Rattus norvegicus: one gene and its partners. The protein of the gene in region 1 purifies or fractionates together with the protein of each later gene. This does not show direct contact. Links are inferred from orthologs where the notes say so. Each region holds a gene or a part of one and is shown in the gene's direction. Other genes may lie near its edges.

Region 1 (4,058 bases):
GTTGCGCTATTGCTTGTGCTGATCATGAACTCATGGCATTAGCCTTCGGAGTGATAGGATTACCGTATTCGACACTATGCTGGGTGAACAAAAAAGGTTGGCTTTTGTTTTTGAGACAGGGTTCCACTATGTAGCCCTCCCTGGTTGGCCTCGAATTCACAGAGATCTGTCTGGCATGCTTGTTGAAATTTTGTTTTTTAAAGCAAGCATTTTAAAAGTGAAGATAGAAAAAAATGAGTCTCTACAGGATTTCCATCTGAACCGGTGAACTAGGACTAATTAGTCCCCTTTCAGGACAGTAACGTTGTTGATTGTGGCACTCAGATTCAGATGATTCATCCTTCTTCCTTGATAATACATAGATAATGGCAGCATGAATTTTCATCCCTTAGATTTTGCCTTTAACTTTCCAAGATCAATGGCTTAACCCAAAATCTATTGTAATTATAACTCACAACCAATGTAAATTCTTTCCAAATACTTTTTCAAGGACAGTTTTTTTTTTTTTTTTGGTTCTTTTTTTCGGAACTGGGGACCGAACCCAGGGCCTTGCGCTTCCTAGGTAAGCGCTCTACCACTGAGCTAAATCCCCAGCCCCACAAGGACAGTTTTGATGGATCTTCTTACTTCGGATTCTATTTTGGGCTCATGCCAATTTAAATTTGAGTAACTTTTTTTTGTTTCATTTTCGCATTTGACAACTATCATTGATTAATTTCAATGAGTTCTCCCTTATGAGGGTCGAATCTGGTTATATGTTTAGGTAAATAATGTTATGCAAATCAGCAACTATTAGGTTTCATGTTAAGCGATTAAAAAAAGAAAAGCTTTCTGAAAATTTGATGACCCATGAACTGTCTCTTTCCCAAATGGGGAATGTGGGTGGGTTCATCCCTCGGATTGAGGCTGCGTCTTCCGTTCCTTTTGTCTTTTCGGAGGATTATGACTGTCATGGCGCTTTCAAGGAGAGAGAGGCCTTCCTTTCGTCCGGCAGAATTACTTGGGAGCACCTCGACTGGGCGGAGGATGGACAGAGAGACATGAAGACAACGCTGGCAAGCTGTCCGCCAGAGCCCTGCAAGGGAGGAGACGCGGCAGGAGACTGCCCTGAGAGCGCCTGTCTGTGGGAACCGCCCCCCGCTGCCCTGTCCAATGGAAACCTGGCGGCGGTGCGGCACCGCCCACTGTTGGTCCGGACGCCGCGAGGGCGGGGCCCGCAGTTCGGTTGCGCTGCGGAGCGCAGCTGTGAGGGAGTCGCTGCGATCCGAGGCCCCGGAACCCGAGCTGGAGCTGAAGCGCAGGCTGCGGGCGCGGAGTCGGGAGGTGAGCTCCGGAGAAAGAGGCCCTGGAGGGAGGGGCTCGCGGAAGGGCGGCAGGATCACCGGGTGCCGCGGGCCGGCGGGCCGCGGCCGGCGGGTGCTGTCCGGCGGCCCTGCTCTCTCGGGAGTCAGGCCCGACCTAGCCCGGCCCGTCGCAGCTGAGGGGCCACCTTGGCCCCAGGGCGCCGCCCGCCCTCCTGGTGTCTCCGGCGTGGCCGCGGCGGCCCGGAATTCTGCGGGCGCGGGTCGGGGGGCCCCGGCGTTCTCTTGGAACTCTGGCCGCGAGAGGCGGGGCAGGCGGCGCGGGCGGGGGCGGGGCGGGGGCGGGGCGGGGGCCCCTGCCCGAGGACCTGCGGAAGGAAGCGCGGCGTCCGGGCCCGGCCTGCTCGCGGGGCGGTGCGCCGAGCGCGGGGGCGTGGTCTGCGGCCTGACGGCGCGGCTAGGCTGGCCTTTGATGAGGTGGCTGTGGTGCTCAGTCTCCTGGCCGGCCACTGTCTGCTCGCTACCGCTTCCTTCCAAATACTGGCCGGGCGACCTGTTGACATGCTGAGGGCCTCCTGCCTCCGAGCTTGCTTTCTCTCCGACCGAGCAGTTCTGCTGACCTCAGAGGCTCTCTGGGTTTCCTCAGAGCGGCCTGTGGCTGCGAGCTATGCGGGGTGACGTGCAGAGGGCTTTCAACTAATAATGGAAGCCGAGAGAACAACTTTGCGAGAGATGACAGACAATGCCCTGGAGTGAATGTACTATGCACCCTCAGGGTAGCTAGAGGCTTCGAGGAGATTGCCCTCACCAATGTAAATGAGCTTTTCCATGTGTGATCCCTGTTAAAACTACCAGCAGCTCTGAGGCAGAACCCCCAGTGTTGCACAAGTTTCTGCATCTGTTGCGGGAGTGCTTGGAGATCTTTAGGCACTGCTCTTATTTTACCTCCTGGGACATGATTGGGGAGGGAAATGTACCTTCTGGGCATTTGTCGCTGGTGACAGTTCATCCTCTCTCCCAAGTGCAGTGTGAAGGGGCTGTCTGTGAACTTGGTCCAGTAGTTTTAGATTCCATAGGCTACAGCTTTGACATTCTAGAGTATCTTCTGTTGTATCTTGCTAGAATTTCACTTATCAGTTCAGATTGGAGGCACATCGTGTGAATGTAGCTGAAACAGACTTTATTTTCTTAGCTCCTTGATACAGACTTTATTTTCTTAGCTCCTTGATAGGGGAAGGAGGAAAAAGTGATCCTTAACTCATCTTTTTTTATTGGTTTATTAAGACATGCACGAAAATAATAGCTGTTTTGGCATACAGAGGAGACTTTCTAGGGTAGGCAAGGACTTTCCTTAGAAATTTAAAGTGGGGAAGTAGCCTACTAGATTTTTTTTCCTCCTGTAGTGCTGTGTTCTTTGAGTTTACTAGAACGTTAATACAAATCTCCCGATTCAGGTAAAACAGTATAGGCTGGAGAGAAATGTGTAGAAAGGGGCATCAGAGAGTTGTATGGCCATGTTGGTGTTGATTGCAGGTTTCAGATATTCTGAATTGACTTTGGAGTGCAAGTTTACTTTCCAGGGTATTGATTTTTTTATTAGGCAGCGCTTCCTTGAGCTAATCACACATAGGTTTCAGGTTTTTTTTTAATAGTCTCTATTCATTTGATTGTCCTATTATTATTATTATTATTATTATTATTATTATTATTATATGGGTTAATTAGAAACTTAGGTTTTTCTTAAAGCAACTCTGCCCCTGTAGAAATGTTATTGTTTAACACTTTGCTTATAAAAGCTATAGCTTGAATTATTTGTTCTGGAAAGAAGTAGCTGGTATCAGATCTAGTGCCTCAGAGATTGGGGAAGTCAAAGCCTTTGAGCAATGTAAATGAAAGGAAAGCTGGAAACATAAGGCTTTTGATTTTCTTTCTGAATTTGTGCTTAATTAAGTGCAGGCATTTCATTTATTTTAATTCACTGATCTCTCAAGCACCCTCCCATTCTGTGACCTATAGTAACCTACAAGTGTTACTAAACATTTAAGTGAGTAAATGAAAAGAAATGCTGTTAAACAGTACCCACTTGCCACATTCACACATCATGAGGAAGGTGAGGTCATTAGAGAAGGAAGTCATACCTGCCAGTCGCCTGGCCCAAAGGCAGTTTCTACCTATGTATAGGAAAAGTGGGTAATGCCACTGTTGGTTCTAGTAGAATAAGTCACCCTTGGGAGTTTTGGCCTGTTGGTTAAGGAAGATGTAGGCCCATAGGGCTGTCTGTCTCAGTGGAACATTCTAGAGTCGTATGCTCTGAGTAATGCCTGTACACCCTAGTTCTTAAGCACAGTGAAGATCGAGGCCCATGGAGAGCCAATGGGAAATATATTAATTGCAACACTATTTGCTGAGCAGGAGTGGGGTACCAGATTTTACCGTATATTTGGGTTTGACTAAAGTGGACTATATTGTCATTCATCTCATGTGCAGCACTTCGGGTGATCTTCAGTTAACTCCTCTTCTAGAAGCCAGAGAGTCATTCACATTTCAGTATTTAGGTAGGAGGAGATCTGATTTTAGATTTAAAGGAAACAAGGGAGATGTATTTTTTGAGGCTGAAGATGAAGTTAAGACTATTAAAGTTTTATACGTCTGTTTTTGACCTTTGTCTTCTGACTCTGCCCAACAAATGCAGGCTGAGTGTTCATTCCAGCATGTCGGAAGGGGAGTCCCAAACAGTAGTCAGCAGTGGCTCAGACC
Region 2 (4,265 bases), on another chromosome or scaffold:
TCATCCCTAACGCTGTTGTTGAAAACAGAATTTCTGTCTGAAAGATCATCTTTCTAATTCAGTCTGGCTTGCTGTTCTGTGTTTGTCACCCTCGTTTCTCTTAAATCTCACTTCTCCGACTATCATATTTTCAGGGCTTTTTAACGCGACTCGCTTTCTCCAGACATACATCTCTTCTGCAGCTGGATCGCCCTACTTTTCTCCCCTATCACCCGGGTTCCACTAAGACTCTGTTAAACGTTAGACCCAGCACATGACCTCGGGTCATCCAGGATTTCCACACGCCGGCACTAAACCGTGCGACGTTCCAGGATTGCAAATAAAAACCGTCCTCTGGCGTCTCAACTCCTAATGAACCTGCAGCGTAAAATTTAAATTTGAAAAAATTTTAAATAAAGAACCCGCTCCCTTTTCTCTGCCCTTTGGCCCCGCCCACGAACCCCCCTCAAGCCTCCACGAGAAGCTGCAGGAAACCGGAGGGGGCGGGGCGGTGACGTCACGACGCCGACGCGTCACGGAACGGCGGCGGCTGCGGCGCTGGCGGTGGCTGCGGCAGCGGCGGCATTTTAGTCTGCGGCGGCAGCGGCTGCGGGGCTGCTGCTCCTCCCAGCATCCCTGGCGCGGCCATTTCAGCCCCATCTTGGCCGAGTGGAGGGAGCTGCAGCCGCTGCTTCAGCAGTTTGAATTTCAGTTTTTCCGGAGTCTACGAACCGGCCGCGCCGAGGAGAAGCGGAAGACGCCTCCACCGGTCCCCCTCACGCCGCCGAGCGCCTCCGCACGCTTGCCGTTCCTTCAGCCGCCGCCGCCCCTCACGCGCCTCAGAGCCGCGAGGAGGCCGGGCCCGCCGCAGCGGGTGGCTCCCTGAGGGAGGCCAGACTGCCGGCCTTCCCCGCCCCCGAGCGGGCTTCCGCCGCCACCGCCGGCATGGCCCCGGGACTGCGCTCGGGCTAGAGCCCGGGACGGAGGGCTGCCTCCCGCCGCGGACCTCCAGCCCCGTCAGGAAGCGCCGGTCCCGGCCTCGCCGCTCCGCCTTCTTCCTCCGCGTCGCCGCGCGGGAGCAGCCGCGGGACCCGGCCAAAAGAGCCCGAGCGGGGCAGAACCGCCCCTCACGCCGCCGCCGCCGCCTCCTGCGCCCTGCGCTCCACCCCCAGCCGGGCCTGCTGACCGCGCCGAGCGCCGGGCTGGACTGACCGCGGCGGCTGAGCTGTGCGAGCAGCCGGCCCGCCCCTGAACCACGCTCGGACCGTCACTGACGGGTTGAATTGAGGCACCACTGCCGCGGGAGGTGAGAAGGAAGGAGGAGGATGTCGCGCCTAGACGCCGGCGCCCAGAGCAGCCCGTGACTTGCGGCGTGGGCCGTAGACCCAGGCGCGAACTCGGACTTTGTCTTTGGGGGCCCGTGCTCGGCCCTTCTCGGTTTCCGGTGGGGTCCCAGAGGAGCCTCTGTCCTCCAGCCTTTTCCACCATGTCCAAGATGCCGGCCAAGAAGAAGAGCTGCTTCCAGATCACCAGTGTCACCACGGCCCAGGTGGCCACTAGCATCACCGAGGACACCGAGAGCCTGGACGACCCGGACGAGTCGCGCACGGAGGACGTGTCCTCCGAGATCTTCGACGTTTCTCGGGCCACGGATTACGGCCCAGAGGAGGTGTGCGAGCGCAGCTCCTCGGAAGAGACGCTCAACAATGTCGGGGATGCGGAAACTCCCGGGACTGTGTCCCCGAACCTCATCCTAGATGGGCAGCTGGCAGCCGCTTCAGCTGTGCCCGCCAACGGAGGCGGCGGCGTGCCGGCCCGGAGCGTGGCAGGGGCACTCTCCCAGACCCTGGCGGCGGTTGCCACTTCAGTGTCTGCTCCTGGGCCAAGTAGTGCAACTCCATCTCAGCCCCCTGCCACTTGTAGTTCCCGTTTCCGCGTGATCAAACTAGACCACGGGAGCGGAGAGCCGTATCGGCGCGGCCGATGGACGTGTATGGAATACTACGAGCGGGATTCAGATAGTAGCGTCCTCAGTAGGTCCGGGGATTGCATTAGACACAGCAATACTTTGGAGCAGACTGCAGAGCGGGACAGCGGCTTGGGCGCCACCGGAGGGTCGGTGGTGGTGGTGGTGGCCTCCATGCAGGGGGCGCACGGGCTGGACTCGGGAACTGACAGCTCCTTGACTGCTGTGTCACAGCTACCCCCGTCGGAGAAAATGAGCCAGCCCACTCTCGCCCAGCCGCAGAGTTTCAGCGTTGGGCAGCCACAGCCTCCACCGCCCGTAGGTGGGGCTGTGGCTCCAAGTTCGGTGTCGCTGCCGCTGTTCCCCGGAGCAGCGACCGGGTCGCAGCCAATGACGGCAGCCACTCAGCCAACTCAGCTCCAGGGAGCCGTAGCCGGCGGCGCCCTCCCCGGGCCTGTTGGCCAGGGGCTGCCGCCGCCGCCGAATGTCAACCTGGCACAGCCTGTGGCCCTGACAGCTCAGCCTGGCCCGGCGGTCGGCTCCTCGTTGTCACAGCAGTTCGCCTATCCCCAGCCTCCGATACCACCCGGGCATTTGTTGCCGGTCCAGCCATCGGGCCAGAGTGAGTACCTGCCGCCGCACGTGGCCCTGCAGCCACCAAGCCCTGCGCAGCCCTTGTCTACCAGCGCTAGCGCGACCTCTGCTTCAGCGGCCAGCTTTCCTCTGGGATCTGGCCAGAGCGTTTCTTCCTTGGGTGCCCAGATGATGGGCGCCTCTGCCCAGCCCAGTGAAGTCGTGGCCCCGGGTCCGGTTCCCGTGGGCCAGGCCGCTCCTTGTCAGCCGGCCGGAGTGGCCCCAGCTGCTATAGGAGGCGTGGTGCAGCCTGGCTCTGGGCTGACCGGGGTTGGGCAGCCCCAGTCCGTGCAGCCTCCGCCACATATGGGTGGCAGTGTTCAGCTGTCAGCCGTGCCTGGTGGTCCTCACACCGTGGTGCCCGGAGTTCCAAACGTGCCTGCAGCGGTACCCGTTCCAAGCGTGCCTGTTGTGCCCACCACTTCTGTTACTATGCCAAATGTACCCGCGCCTCTGGGCCAGTCTCAGCAGCTGAGCGGCCATACGCCAGTCAGCCGGAGCAGCAGCGTCATCCAGCAAGTTGGTCCACCCTTAGCGCAAGGCACACACAGTGCACCAACAAGTCTACCACAGTCTGATCTAAGCCAGTTTCAGACTCAGACCCAGTCTTTAGTCAGGCAAATTGACGATACTAGAAGAAAATCAGAACCCCTACCTCAAGCACCACTTTCTCTCATTGCTGAAAATAAGCCTGTTGTGAAGCCTCCAGTTGCAGATGCCCTGGCAAACCCTCTTCAATTAACACCTATGAACAGTCTGGCCACCTCTGTATTCAGCATAGCTATTCCTGTTGATGGTGATGAAGACAGGTAGGTAAATTTTTATTTTGAACATCTGGTAGAGTTGCTTGCCCAAATAGATGCAGTTTTGGGAGTGAGTTTGTTTGTTTCCACTTAAGGTCTTTATTTTTAAAACTTAAGTTTGGTAAAAATCAATTCAAAGTTTGGGAGTAAGGAGACAAAAGTCACGGGATTTTTGTTGTTGTTGTTTTGTTTTTGTTTTCTTTTTAAGAAATTAAATGGATAGTGGTTCAACGCCGTTGGTATATTTATTTCAGCTTAACAGTTTAAAGATGAGAGCTGGTATTGCCCCCACCCTTAGTAAGAGAGTCCCTTTCTAAGGTAGTAATTACTTTTGAGTGCTTATTGCAGTTTTGCCTGAGTTAGTTTTGAAACTCTTTAAGACAGAAAACCAGAGAGCCTTTTCCTGGGGGCAGGGAAGGAATGGAATAGAAGCAGTCTCCATCAGTGAATTGGGCAGACTGGAAAGAACGATAAAATGTGGTGAAGTCTAGCTTTGACTACCCCTAAGTCAGTCTTTAATAGAAGGGAGTCGTGAGAGTTCCCAGTAACTTTTCAAACTTTTCAAAGTTTAAGCAAAATAGGAAAAAGAAAAAGTACTGGAAGATGGATGTTCTATCAGTCTTTAGTGAAGGGAGGTGTGAAATGCCTAAACAATAATAAAGGCTATAGTTTTAAAATGTCTGTAACCAACGCCCTCTACCCAGAGTGTAGGGTATGCTTTTTAAATAGGTAGAAATTAGTGCATTGCTACGCTGTTCATGGTTGTGGCTACTTAGGAATTGTAGGGTTCTTTTTTTTTTTTATTTTTTTTTATTTTTTTATTTTTTAAGGAACTATCACATAGACCTTTGACATGACATAAGTCCAACCTTGTTAAAAACTTA
Region 3 (4,268 bases), on another chromosome or scaffold:
GTCGTGGCAGCAGCGGAGGGCTCCTGGGAGCTGCAACTCGTGATGCTGTTGCTGAGGAGAAAAGCCTTATTACCCATTCAGCAGGCCGGGGGGACACCGCCCCAGGGCGCGCACACCCGAGACCTATCGCTCCTCACCCGCCTCGCCGGGGTCCGCGTGGGAGACAGCAGCGGACACGCCTAACCTGCGCGCACGCGCGCGGCGTGGCCCCCACGCCCCACCCTAGCTTCTCCACGCGACCCGGATTCGCTCGCGCGCCCGAGTGCCCCACCCCCACCGCCCTCAGGCGTCGGCGGCTCCGCCGGCCTTCGGCAATTTCCGTGGAGACGGAGCCGAGAGCTCGGCACGGACCGAAGACAGGCCACCTCCCCTAGTCAGACCCAGCTTTATGTCTGCAGCGCCGGCGCGCACGCGCAGACGCCATCTTCCCTCTTCTCCTCCGCGACCCCTCCCCCCCGCCTTCTCCTCCTCCTCCTCCTCCTCCCCCTCCTCCTCCTCCTCCTTCTCTTCGGTCAGAGCTCGACCCTCCTCCTCTCGCGCTGGGGCGCTGGTCCCTCCTCTCTTGATGCCGCGAGAGACCAGGGGATACGGAGCAGCCCGAGAAGAGCACTAGTAACAACCACCACAGCCCCCTCCTCGCCCGACGCCCTCCCACTCCTCCGCCCCGCGCCGCCACCGACCAACCCCACCTCTCATTTCTTTGAACGGCGTCGGCTGCAGCCGCTGCACCAGCCCCGTCTGGCCGTCGCCGCCGCCGCGAAAAGGAGCCACCGCCGCCCGCGGCCCCCTCCCTCCCGGTCGCGGGAGCAGCTCGGTGCCGAGCCAGCCGGCGGGCTGAGAAGAGGACGCGAGCTCGCCCCTCCGCTCCCGCGCACGTCCCGCCACCCGCCGGAGCAGCCTGGGCGCCGGCGCCCTTCCTCTCAGAGGACGTGTGCCGAGCCGAGCGCCTGCCCCGAGAGAGGAAAATGCTCGGGCTCCATGGCTGCCAGTGATGGAGCGGTCCCTGGGCTCCCGCTGCCGCCGCCACCGCCGCCGCCGCGCCCCGGCCGCGCTCCGCGAGGACCCGGCGTCTCTGCGCGCCCGCCCTCGCCTCGTTGCTGGGCTCACCGTACCCGGCGCCCCGCCGCCGCCCCGCTCGCAGCCGCGCCGCCCGGGCCCCAGTCGCGGTCAGCCTTTCCTCCCGGAGCAGCCGTCGCGAGCCCAGGGGGTTTGAGAGGGGCCGCGGGCCGCGGGGGGAGGCCCGAGCGGGGCCGGCCGCGCCGGCAAGGGAGGTTGGAGCGACGCTGAGCTCAGGGCTCGCCGGCGGCCGCGGCGCCGGGGGTGGCGAGGGCCGGGCGACCGCTCGCTCCGCGCTGCCTCGGTGCAGGGCGAGCGGAGGGGCTTTGCAGCGGCCGCCGCCGCGGGAGGAGGGGGTTGAGCTGGCTCCGGAGTTGGCCAAAGAAGGTGGGCATTTCTCGCTTCTCCTCGCCTCCCCCGCCCCCTCCTGGGCTCCCCTCCCTCCCGCCCCGCACCCCACGTGAAGCGGAATATAAAGGGGGGTGTGTGACTGGAGGGGAAAGTGAATGGCGAAGGACTGAAGGGGTCCCCCTTCGGTTCCCCAGCCACCTGGTTCACCCGGTTCATCCTCCCTTCCCGAAGCTAGCCCTCGAAGGCACGAGCAGCCGGCGCCTTCGGCAGAGGAGGAGGAGGAGGGATCGCGTCGGGCGGAGCTTCAGGTCCTGTTCGCCTCTCCGGCTTCTCCATACAAAGATTACGGTGCAGAAGGAAATTGCACTCGCCTCCTCCGCCCCCCGGTACCCAGCACAATGCACCAGCCGCCAGAGTCCACCGCCGCGGCGGCCGCTGCTGCAGACATTAGTGCTAGGAAGATGGCGCACCCGGCAATGTTCCCTCGAAGGGGCAGCGGTGGTGGCAGCGCCTCTGCTCTCAGTGCAGCAGGTACCGGCGTCAGTGGTGCTGCTCCATCTTCTGAAGATTTTCCTCCTCCTTCTTCGCTGCTCCAGCCGCCGCCTCCTGCTGCATCTTCCACACAGGGACCACAGCCTCCGCCTCCACAAAGCCTGAACCTCCTTTCACAGGCTCAGCTGCAGGGACAGCCTCTTGCGCCAGGCGGAACTCAGATGAAAAAGAAAAGTGGCTTCCAGATAACTAGCGTTACTCCGGCTCAGATCTCTGCCAGCATCAGCTCGAACAACAGCATAGCAGAGGACACCGAGAGCTATGATGACCTGGATGAGTCGCACACGGAAGATCTCTCTTCTTCCGAGATCCTTGATGTCTCCCTTTCCAGGGCCACTGACTTAGGTGAGCCTGAACGCAGTTCCTCCGAGGAGACTCTGAATAACTTCCAGGAAGCTGAGACACCTGGGGCAGTCTCTCCTAACCAGCCCCACCTTCCTCAGCCTCATTTGCCTCACCTTCCACAACAGAACGTTGTGATCAATGGGAACGCTCATCCACACCACCTCCATCACCACCATCACATTCATCATGGGCACCACCTTCACCACGGACACCACCATTCATCACATGCTGCTGTGGCCAGTACATCCGTTCCTGGAGGGCCACCACCCACGAGCCCCGTGTCCAGGAAACTCTCTACAGCTGGAAGTTCTGACGGTGGTGTGCCAGTCCCACCTACTTCTGCTGTATCATCGGCTGGCTTACCTGCCTCAGTGATGACGAGCATCCGTGCTCCAAGCACTCCAGGCAGCATAGGTGTAAATTCAGTTACCGGCACGAATGCAACGAATAATGTTAACATTGCTGCTGTGGGTGGTTTCAGTCCCGGTGTGGCGAACAGCGTGCATCCCAATGCTGTTAGTATAAGTGGTGGGCCTGGAGTTACCAGCGGTGTTAATGTGAATGTCTTGAGTGGCATGGGCAACGGTACCATTTCTTCTCCTGTCCTTAACGCAGCTGCAGGTATCACGGTGGGAGTGGTTTCAAGTCAGCAGCAGCAGCCGCAGCAGCCGCCGCCAACAGTTAACACATCAAGGTTCAGAGTTGTGAAGTTAGACTCTACTTCTGAACCCTTTAAAAAAGGCAGATGGACTTGCACTGAATTCTATGAGAGAGAAAATGCTGTGCCAGGTCCAGAAGGCGTGGCCATAAATAAAGTGGTGGAGACCGTGAAGCAAACCCCCACGGAAGCGTCCTCTTCGGAGAGGGAGAGCACTAGTGGGAGTTCCGTGAGCAGTAGTGTCAGCACACTGAGTCACTACACAGAGAGTGTGGGAAGCGGAGAGATGGGAGCCCCTACTGTGGTGGTGCAGCAGCAGCAGCCGCTACCACCAGCACCACCAGGTCTTCAAGGCGTGGCCCTCCAACAGCTAGATTTCAGTAGCCCTGGTCCACAGAGTATTTCTCAGTCACAGATGTCACAGGTACAACTACAGCCTCAAGAATTGAGCTTTCAGCAGAAGCCAAATCTTCAACCTGTTCCTCTGCAAGCCACTATGAGCGCAGCAACTGGTATCCAGCCTTCACCTGTCAACGTGGTGGGTGTAACGTCAGCTGTAGGTCAACAGCCTTCCATTTCCAGTCTGGCTCAGCCCCAGCTGCCGTATCCTCAGCCAGCTCCTCCCGTGCAAACTCCTCTTCCAGGGGCACCACCCCAGCAGTTACAATATGGGCAACAGCAACCAATGGTTCCTACGCAGATAGCCCCAGGCCATGGCCAGCCAGCAACTCAAAACCCTCCTTCAGAGTACGCACAGCAGCAGCCAATATTCCAAGCGGCAATGTCCTCTGGACAGTCCAGTTCCACAGGCACAGGAGCGTCAGTGATTCCCGTGGCTCAGCCACAAGGGATCCAGCTGCCAGTGCAGCCCACAGCAGTACAAGCACAACCTGCAGGGGCGACTGGGCAGCCCATTGGCCAGGCTCCAACAGCAGTGTCTACTGTACCAGCTGGTGGTCAGATTGCAAGTATCGGTCAGCAGGCAAACATACCCACTGCAGTACAGCCACCCTCTACCCAAGTTACACCTTCAGTTGTTCAGCAAGGTGCTCCTCCATCTTCACAAGTAGTCCTACCTGCTCCAACTGGGATCATTCATCAGGGCGTTCAAACCAGTGCTCCAAGCCTTCCTCAGCAATTGGTTATTGCACCCCAGAGTACCATGGTAGCGGTGCCTCCCCAGACACAGGGAGTGGAAGCAGTGGCTCATGGAGTTGTTTCCCACCAGTTGCCCACAGGTAGTCCTTTGCCCTCTGCTAGCACCATTTCTGTTACAAGTCAGGTTAGTTCAGCTGGTCCTTCTGGA

The links.
Region 2: the proteins of Nrbp1 (region 1) and Tsc22d2 purify together in Homo sapiens (affinity purification with mass spectrometry; 5 studies listed by BioGRID and IntAct, with this or other methods). This does not show direct contact. The link is inferred for Rattus norvegicus from reciprocal best matches to the Homo sapiens genes NRBP1 and TSC22D2.
Region 3: the proteins of Nrbp1 (region 1) and Tsc22d1 purify together in Homo sapiens (affinity purification with mass spectrometry; 6 studies listed by BioGRID and IntAct, with this or other methods). This does not show direct contact. The link is inferred for Rattus norvegicus from reciprocal best matches to the Homo sapiens genes NRBP1 and TSC22D1.

What each region holds. Positions count from the first base shown.
Region 1 is NC_086024.1:30,850,309-30,854,366, reverse strand, and holds the start of Nrbp1 (nuclear receptor-binding protein), read left to right. Parts: upstream 1-1,258; 5' UTR 1,259-1,323; intron 1,324-3,993; 5' UTR 3,994-4,012; coding exon 4,013-4,058. UniProt on the Homo sapiens protein: Required for embryonic development. Plays a role in intestinal epithelial cell fate and proliferation, thereby involved in the architectural development of the intestine potentially via the regulation of Wnt-responsive genes.
Region 2 is NC_086020.1:144,795,575-144,799,839, forward strand, and holds the start of Tsc22d2 (TSC22 domain family protein 2), read left to right. Parts: upstream 1-1,465; coding exon 1,466-3,387; intron 3,388-4,265. UniProt on the Homo sapiens protein: Reduces the level of nuclear PKM isoform M2 which results in repression of cyclin CCND1 transcription and reduced cell growth.
Region 3 is NC_086033.1:58,158,310-58,162,577, forward strand, and holds the start of Tsc22d1 (TSC22 domain family protein 1), read left to right. Parts: upstream 1-1,468; 5' UTR 1,469-1,805; coding exon 1,806-4,268. UniProt on the Homo sapiens protein: Transcriptional repressor. Acts on the C-type natriuretic peptide (CNP) promoter. Acts to promote CASP3-mediated apoptosis.